2 linked regions of the Oryctolagus cuniculus genome follow. The protein of the gene in region 2 purifies or fractionates together with the protein of the main gene of each other region. This does not show direct contact. Links are inferred from orthologs where the notes say so. Each region holds a gene or a part of one and is shown on either strand. Other genes may lie near its edges. The genes, in order: NAP1L4 and UBE2O.

What was found.
Region 1: the proteins of UBE2O (region 2) and NAP1L4 purify together in Homo sapiens (affinity purification with mass spectrometry; 3 studies listed by BioGRID, with this or other methods). This does not show direct contact. The link is inferred for Oryctolagus cuniculus from reciprocal best matches to the Homo sapiens genes UBE2O and NAP1L4.

Annotation. Positions count from the first base shown.
Region 1 is NC_091432.1:788,787-792,588, reverse strand, and holds part of NAP1L4 (nucleosome assembly protein 1-like 4), read right to left. Parts: intron 3,056-3,802; coding exon 2,916-3,055; intron 1,725-2,915; coding exon 1,579-1,724; intron 1-1,578. UniProt on the Homo sapiens protein: Acts as a histone chaperone in nucleosome assembly.
Region 2 is NC_091448.1:4,358,498-4,362,299, forward strand, and holds part of UBE2O ((E3-independent) E2 ubiquitin-conjugating enzyme), read left to right. Parts: intron 1-112; coding exon 113-172; intron 173-273; coding exon 274-384; intron 385-2,596; coding exon 2,597-2,694; intron 2,695-3,665; coding exon 3,666-3,729; intron 3,730-3,802. UniProt on the Homo sapiens protein: E2/E3 hybrid ubiquitin-protein ligase that displays both E2 and E3 ligase activities and mediates monoubiquitination of target proteins. Negatively regulates TRAF6-mediated NF-kappa-B activation independently of its E2 activity.

The sequences.
Region 1 (3,802 bases), on a different chromosome or scaffold from region 2:
CTGGCTTGGGCCTGGCCCTGCTCTGGCTTTGCAGCCACTTGAGGAGGAACCGGCAGATGGAGATCTCGTGTTCTCTGTCTTCTAACGCTTCTGACACTTTGTCTTTCAAACAAACAAAAACCACACCAAAGCCCATGTGTACCTGCTGGTGAAGCCAGTAAACCGCCAATATGCTCAATGCCAACTCCAAAAGATCTCCCCAAACTTATGGCTATTCTTGGCCCCAAACCAGTATTTGTGCATCTTCTAGGCTCAAAATCAAATCACAGAGAACCACCAGTACTAAAGTTTGAGCAGCAGCTAGACGAACAGGGCGAAGATGACCCAGCAGGCCTGGGAGGCGTGCCCCCTGCTGACCCCACACAACCTCTCTGGGCACGGATCGTGTGCACCAGGGCTGGTCTACATCAGACTGTTTTGTTCATGGAGAATAACGTTTTTCTTCATAGCAACACTGCTACGTGGCCTGCTATACGTATTTATCATGATCAGAGAGTTACATTAAGAATGTCAAGAAATTTACTCTTGGTCGGCGCCATGGCTCAATAGGCTAATCCTCCACCTGCAGCGCCGGCACACCAGATTCTAGTCCTAGTCAGGGCGCCGGATTCTGTCCTGGTTGCTCCTCTTCCAGGCCAGCTCTCTGCTGTGGCCCAGGAGTGCAGTAGAGGATGGCCCAAGTGCTTGGACCCTGCACCCCATGGGAGACCAGGATAAACACCTGGTTCCTGCCTTCGGATCAGCGCGGTGCGCCAGCCGCAGTGCACTGGCCGCAGCAGCCATTGGAGGGTGAACCAACGGCAGAGGAAGACCTTTTTCTCTGTCTCTCTCTCTCACTGTCCACTCTGTCAAAAAATAAAAAAATTAAAAAAAAAAAAAAAAAAAAAGTTGGGACTGGCACTGTGGTACACGCTGCCCATGGTGCCAGCATCCCATATTGGTGCAGGTTTGCATCCTGGCTGCCCCTCTTCCGATCCAGCTCTCTGCTGTGGCCTGGGAAAGCAGTGGAGGATGGCCCAAGTGGTTGGGCTCCTGTACCCATGCGGGAGTCCGAGAAGAAGCTCCTGGCTTCGCCCTGGCCCAGCCCTCGATGTGTTAGCCACCTGGGAAGTGAACCAGTGGACTTTCTAATAAATAAATGAATTTTAAAAATAAGTAAATAACTCAGCTGCCCCACCTTTACTAGTTCAAAGGCCCCATCTTTAAATCCGACTTCCCACACACCTTCATCTGTAAACTGCAAAATCCTGCACTCCACCCCTGCACACAGAAGCAGAACAGAACTGACCTCAGGAGCAAAGAGGGTTTGGACAGACGGCTGACAGGCTGTGTAGCAGTGACCGCGAGGACGCTGGGGGGCCTGGCACAGGCACAAGGACAGGGGGAGAGTCCTGGGGCGCGGGTACTCTGTGTCCAGGTGAGTCAAGATCTCCCTTCCCAGTGGGGCTGACAACGCCACTCCTACTTTCTAGAAAACCCTGCCCCACACCACGCGGCGGCCAGCACCCTGAGGACAGGATACGGCTGAGGTGGGTCTGGAACATTCCAGGGTGCGCACAGCGCACGTCAGCAACGCACCTTTCAGGGGGCTGAAGAAGTTGAAGAACGACTCGCTGGGCACCTGCTTGGTGATCGTCCTGACCGTGCCCCGGCCTCTGTGCTTCTGCTTCTTCCTGACGGTCTTGACCGTCACGTTCTTTCCTTTCTTCCAATCGATGGTGCACCTGCGACAGAGGGCAGCTGTCAGGGACACACTCCCTGAGAGACGTCCCAAAGGCAGACGGAGAAATCTCAGCTCTCCATGGAAACCGGCATCGGGTGAGACCCGTCCACGCGTCTTGAGGCTGGGTCTGCAGCAACAGCCTGGGCCCCTTCCCGGGGCGTGCGCGCTGCCTGGAGCGCACCCTGAAACGGTGGGCGCTGCCTCCCCAGGACGCCTCGCTAAGGGCCCCAAGGCTGCTCGCCACCTGCCGGGTGATCACAGCAGGCCCGCGGTTACCGCCACCGCATCCAAATCCTCCAGGCAACCGCATGAGCGGGACGAGCTGCAGCAGTCGAGGCGGCCCCGGCGAACACGGACGCCCACGGACGCCCGCGTGGACGCCTGGGGACAGAGGTAGCTCTGGCAGCACCCACACAACTGCTCACGGCGGTGGTCTTCCCAGACCACTCCGGCCACTCCAGTCCAGGTCTGCAATGACTTCCATTTAAAGACAGAACCATTTCCCAAACAACTGAGGGAAATTAACTCCAGACAAATGCTGCCCCTGGGGTCCACGCAGACCATCGCTGACCTACGGTGAGCGATGGCTGTGCTGCACCGTGCACTCCCGAAGCAATCACTGGACCAACACGGCCTGCACTGACCCCTCGTGTGCTGGGAGCAACTTTGAAGTTCCACTGCACAGCTTCAGGCACCGGCGCCCAGACGGCCTCTCTCTCTGGTGAGGGGCCTGCACACGGGCAGCCAGCCTCGGCTGCTTAATTTAAGTCCTTGTCTACTAGGCTTTTAAGCAGAGTCAAGACTTTTAATAACTGCCAATTTCTACCTCACCTGTGAAGTTCTAAAATCATCCCTTGCTTTTGTTTCAGAAAAAGAAATGAAGAAGGGGCTGGAGTTGCAGCGTAATGGGTTGAGCCAGCATCCCATATGGGCACAGGTTCGAGTCCCGGCTGCTCCACTTCCGATCCAGCGCCCTGCTAACGCACCTGGGAAAGCAGTGGAAGATGGACCAAGTCCCTGGGCCCCTGCACCCACATGGGAGACCCAGAGGCGGCTCCTGGCTCTGTCCTGGCCATTGTGGCCACTTAGGGAGTGAACCAGCAATGGAAGCTCTTTCTCCCTCTCTTTGTAATGTTGCCTTTCGCATAAAGAAATCTTAGGACAAAAGAGAAATGAAGACGACATTTCTTACCCGTCACAGTCAACGATTTCAGGGCCTTCGAAGGAAAAGGGATCAGCCTTGTCTGGCTCCGACTTCATCTTGTACGTTTTGGTCAGGACTGAGTTGGTGAAGTAGTCGTTGGGTTCAAAGTGGAACTCTAACACAAAAGACTACAGAGCAGAAACAGGGGGGCACCGCTTAGAATCAGAGAAGCACCCCCAGTGGGCGGGGCCCGCACAGCGCTGCAGAGAGAGGCGCTCAGGCCGTGGGCCCCACCCTCAGTGGATGGGAGGCCTGCACAGCGCTGCAGAGAGAGCAGCACAGGCCGTGGGCCCCACCCTCAGTGGACGGGAGGCCTGCACAGCGCTGCAGAGAGGCACCCAGGCCGTGGGCCCCACCCTCAGTGGACGGGGGCCTGCACAGCCCTACAGAGAGAGCAGCACAGGCCGTGGGCCCCACCCTCAGTGGACGGGAGGCCTGCACAGCGCTGCAGAGAGAGCAGCACAGGCCGTGGGCCCCACCCTCAGTGGACGGGAGGCCTGCACAGCGCTGCAGAGAGAGCAGCACAGGCCGTGGGCCCCACCCTCAGTGGACGGGGGGGCCTGCACAGCCCTACAGAGAGAGGCGCTCAGGCCGTGGGCCCCACCCTCAGTGGACGGGGGCCTGCACAGCGCTGCAGAGAGAGCAGCACAGGCCGTGGGCCCCTCCCTCAGTGGACGGGAGGCCTGCACAGCCCTACAGAGAGAGCAGCACAGGCAGTGGGCCCCACCCTCAGTGGACGGGAGGCCTGCACAGCCCTACAGAGAGAGCAGCACAGGCAGTGGGCCCCTCCGTGCTGGCAGAACCCGAGTCTACATTCTGGGCTGTGAGGGAGAAGAGGACAAACCTTGGGTCCAGGACAACAGCACCCTGCACTC
Region 2 (3,802 bases):
TGCGTGCGGCTTGTGAGCATGCGGGTGACGCACCTCGCGGGGCAGCTGATGCCCTTGGGAAGAAGTCGGGAAGCAGGCGTCATCTCTCACCGCCGTGTGTTCTCTGTCGCAGCTGAAACTGGAGGACCGCTCCGTCGTGCCCAGGGACGTGGTCAGGCACATGCGATCCACCGTGAGTCTGCCCACCCCACGCTGCACGTGCAGGAGAGCTTGGGGTTGTCTGGGTGGGTGTCCCATGGTGGCCTTGGCTTGGACGCCTCCTCCCTCCCCCAGGACAGTCAGTGTGGCACCGTGATAGACGTCAACATTGACTGCGCCGTCAAGCTCATCGGCACCAACTGCATCATCTACCCAGTCAACAGCAAGGACCTGCAGCACATCTGGGTGAGCTGCCCCCCCCCCGGCCCCCGGCGGCCTCTGGCTGTCAGCGCAGCCACTCTGTGCTGCCCCTCCCCCCGCCCTCGCCAGGCACTGCCTCCCCAGGTCAGGTGGCAGGCCTGTTTTGCTTTAACACTTAAAATACATTTTTAAAAAATATTTATTTATTTGAAAGGCAGAGTTACAAAGAGAGCGCGAGGGAGACAGAGAGCTCTTCCATCCACTGGTTCACTCCCAAAATGGCCGCAACAGCTGGAGCTGGCCTGATCTGAAGCCAGGAGCCAGGAGCTTCTTCGAGTATCCCATGTGGGTGCAGGGGCCCAAGCACTTGGGCCATCCTCCGCTGCTTTCCCAGGCCATAGCAGAGAGCTGGATCAGAAGTGGAGCAGCCGGGACTCGAACCGGTGCCCATGTGGGATGCTGGCCCTGCAAGCAGAGGATTAACCTGTCCCCATCTTTTTTTTTTTTAAAGAGTTAGTTAGTTAGTTAGTTAGTTAGTTGACAGGCAGAGTTACAGAGTGGCAGAGGCAGAGAGAGGTCTTCTATGCACTGGTTCACTCCCCAGATGGCCACAACAGCCATAGCTGCACCGATCCAAAGCCAGGAGCCAGGAGTTTCCTCCAGGTCTCCCACATGGGTGCAGGGGCCCAAGCACTTGGGCATCTTCCACTGCCTTCCCAGGCCACAGCAGAGAGCTGGATGGGACGTAGAGCAGCCAGGAGTCAAACTGGCGCCCATGTAGGATGCTGGCACTGCGGGTGGCGACTTTACCCGCTGTGCCACAGCGCCAGCCCCCCCATCTTTGTTTTCCAGGATTTATTTTTAAACTATTTGAGGTTTCCCACACGTTGTAAGCTCCTGGCCCCGCCTCACACAGGGGCCTCACAGCTGTGCTCATCTCTCTCCTCCCCCAACCTTCCTGTCCTCTGCTTTCCCCTGAGACATCTGAGCAGACTGCAGCCAGTGCCCTGTCGCCCCAGAACTGCACAGCGTGCATTCTGCAGACACAGGGCGCGCTCCTGGCAGCCTCCTGGTGGCGCTGACATCACCGCCCGTCCCGCAGCCCGCTCTGCCCAGCAACGCCTGCTTCCCCTTCTGATCCGGGCCCCATTCAGAATCATTCTGCATTCGGTTGTCGGCTCCTGGAGCTCTCGGGCCTGGAGGGGCTCCCTGGTCTTCCCCTGTCGCGGATCTCCTGGCAGCGATAGCTGGTGGCGCAGCCGGCCTCGCCCGGTGCATGCCAGGCGCGCTCTGCCCGTGAGTCCCTGGCCGCACCACTGGGAGCGAACATCTGCTCTGACCCCTGGTGGTGCCGTAGCCTCCCTCATAAAGTCTCCATTACCTATCTGTAAGTGGTTAAGTGTGTGGGGACAAATTCCAGGATGTGTCATCACCCCTCACCCACACCCCAGCCCCGGCAGAACCGGCCGTCTCTGGTGCCTGCTTGGTTGCTCCCTTTTCATGTCCGTGTGGAGCCCGAGGTCCCTGGATCCTCACGGGCTGTAACCCGTGCCTGCCGTCATCTGCTGCCTTAATGATCCAGACCTGGCCAGCGCAGCTCCTCCCGCTGGCTTTTCCGTCTGTCACGCTTCGTTATCTGCTTTCCTTCTGTGTTTAAAGTTCTTTCTTTTTTTCTTACACCACGAGCTCTCCGAGCTCATGTTGCATTTTCTTCTGATCCAGCGCTGGGATCGGCTGTTTCTTCTTTGCGAGGAGAACGTTATCTTAGAGACCGAGATGTGGGTGCAGGGTGTGCTGACTGCGGCCAGGCCTCCTAGAACAGCTCCAGGGGTCCTAGCCCGCGTCTGCTGACGCAGCGGGGTGCACTCTGACACCCCTGATTCCAGTTCCCCCCCTGCACGCTGCCTCCCTCTCTCCCCGAGTCGGTGAGCACCTTCAGCACCGAGAAGCTGGGCTCTTGCTGACCTCATGACACCTGCCCAGTGACTCAGGGTGCTCCGCAGCCTCCCTGCCACACGGCTGCCCTCTCACCAGGCGTCCTGGGCCAGGGGTGCACAGGCCTCTGCGTCGTTCTCCCGTCCCCACCACGTCTCGGCCTTCGCTGGGAAGGGGAACCGGGACGTGGCCCAGAGCTCTCGGGGAGGCCTGGCAGCAGGTGTTAGGACAGATGTCCACCTCCCTCCTCCCCTGGCCCAGTGGGTGCCCTGGGCATCAGTGTCACCTGCTCCTGCCCTGCCCCTGTTCCCTTGACCTGCAGCCCTTCATGTACGGGGACTACATTGCCTACGACTGCTGGCTGGGGAAGGTCTATGACCTGAAGAACCAGATCATCCTGAAGCTCTCCAATGGCGCCAGGTGGGTGTCTCTCCGCCTGCCGGGAGGAGGGGAGGCGGGGTGTCCCTGTGGGGCCAGACCTCGTCAAGGGGAGTGACAGGTGAGGAGGAGGGCAGGCGGGGTGTCCCTGTGGGGCCTGTGGGGCCAGACCTCGTCAAGGGGAGTGACAAGTGAGGAGGAGGGCAGGCGGGGTGTCCCTGTTGTGGGGCAAGACCTCGTCAAGGTGCTGCGGGCATTTGGGCTCTTGCATCCCAGAGCCAAACCCCGTGCGCTCTCCTCATCTGCTGTGGCCCGGTTCTGGTCCCTTAGCTTGAGAAGCATCATCCTTTAGATCTCTCCCGGGAGCTGCTGGAGATCAGTCCAGGTCTCCCATGTGGGTGGCAGGGACCCAGTTACTTGAGCCAGGACTGCTGTCTCCCGGGTGCATGAGCAGGAAGCTGCAACAGAAGCAGAGTGGAACTTGAACCCGGGTATTGCGGCACGGATGGCAGTGTCCGCGGCACCAGACGCCTGCCCTTGCCCCAGTCTGAGGCACCCGGTGAGGCGTAGGGTTTTGCACCAGCTCAGAGGCTGCGCCGCTGGCAGAAGATGAGTCGTGTACCCGTGGGAGTTCTGGCCCCTCCGGATCACCACTCTTTGAAGATTCATTGATTGGAAGGAGTACAGACAGGAGAGAGGTCCTCCATCTGCTGGCTCACTCCCCAGAGGGCTGCAGCGGCCCAGGGCTGGGTCAGGCTGAAGCCAGGAGCCTGCAGCTGCATCCAGGTGTCCCCCATGAGTGGCAGGGCCCAGGCACTTGGGCCGTCTCCTGCTCCTTCCGTTAGCAGGGAGCTGGATCAGAAGTGGGGCAGCCGGGACTTGAACCCATGCCCATCATGGGAACCAGCTTCACCGGCAGTGCAAGCCACCGGGCCCCAGAGCCGCCCCGTCGCCACTCTGGCACTTGGCCGTGTGCCCCCTGGTGGAGACCACGCCTCTCTCCACTGTTTCAGGTGCTCCATGAACACGGAAGATGGTGCCAAGCTCTACGATGTGTGCCCGCACGTCAGCGACTCGGTACGTGTGCTCTGCCCAGGGTGCTCAGGACGGAGCTTTCTCGGCAGGGAGCGTGGAGCGGCCCAGGCTCCTC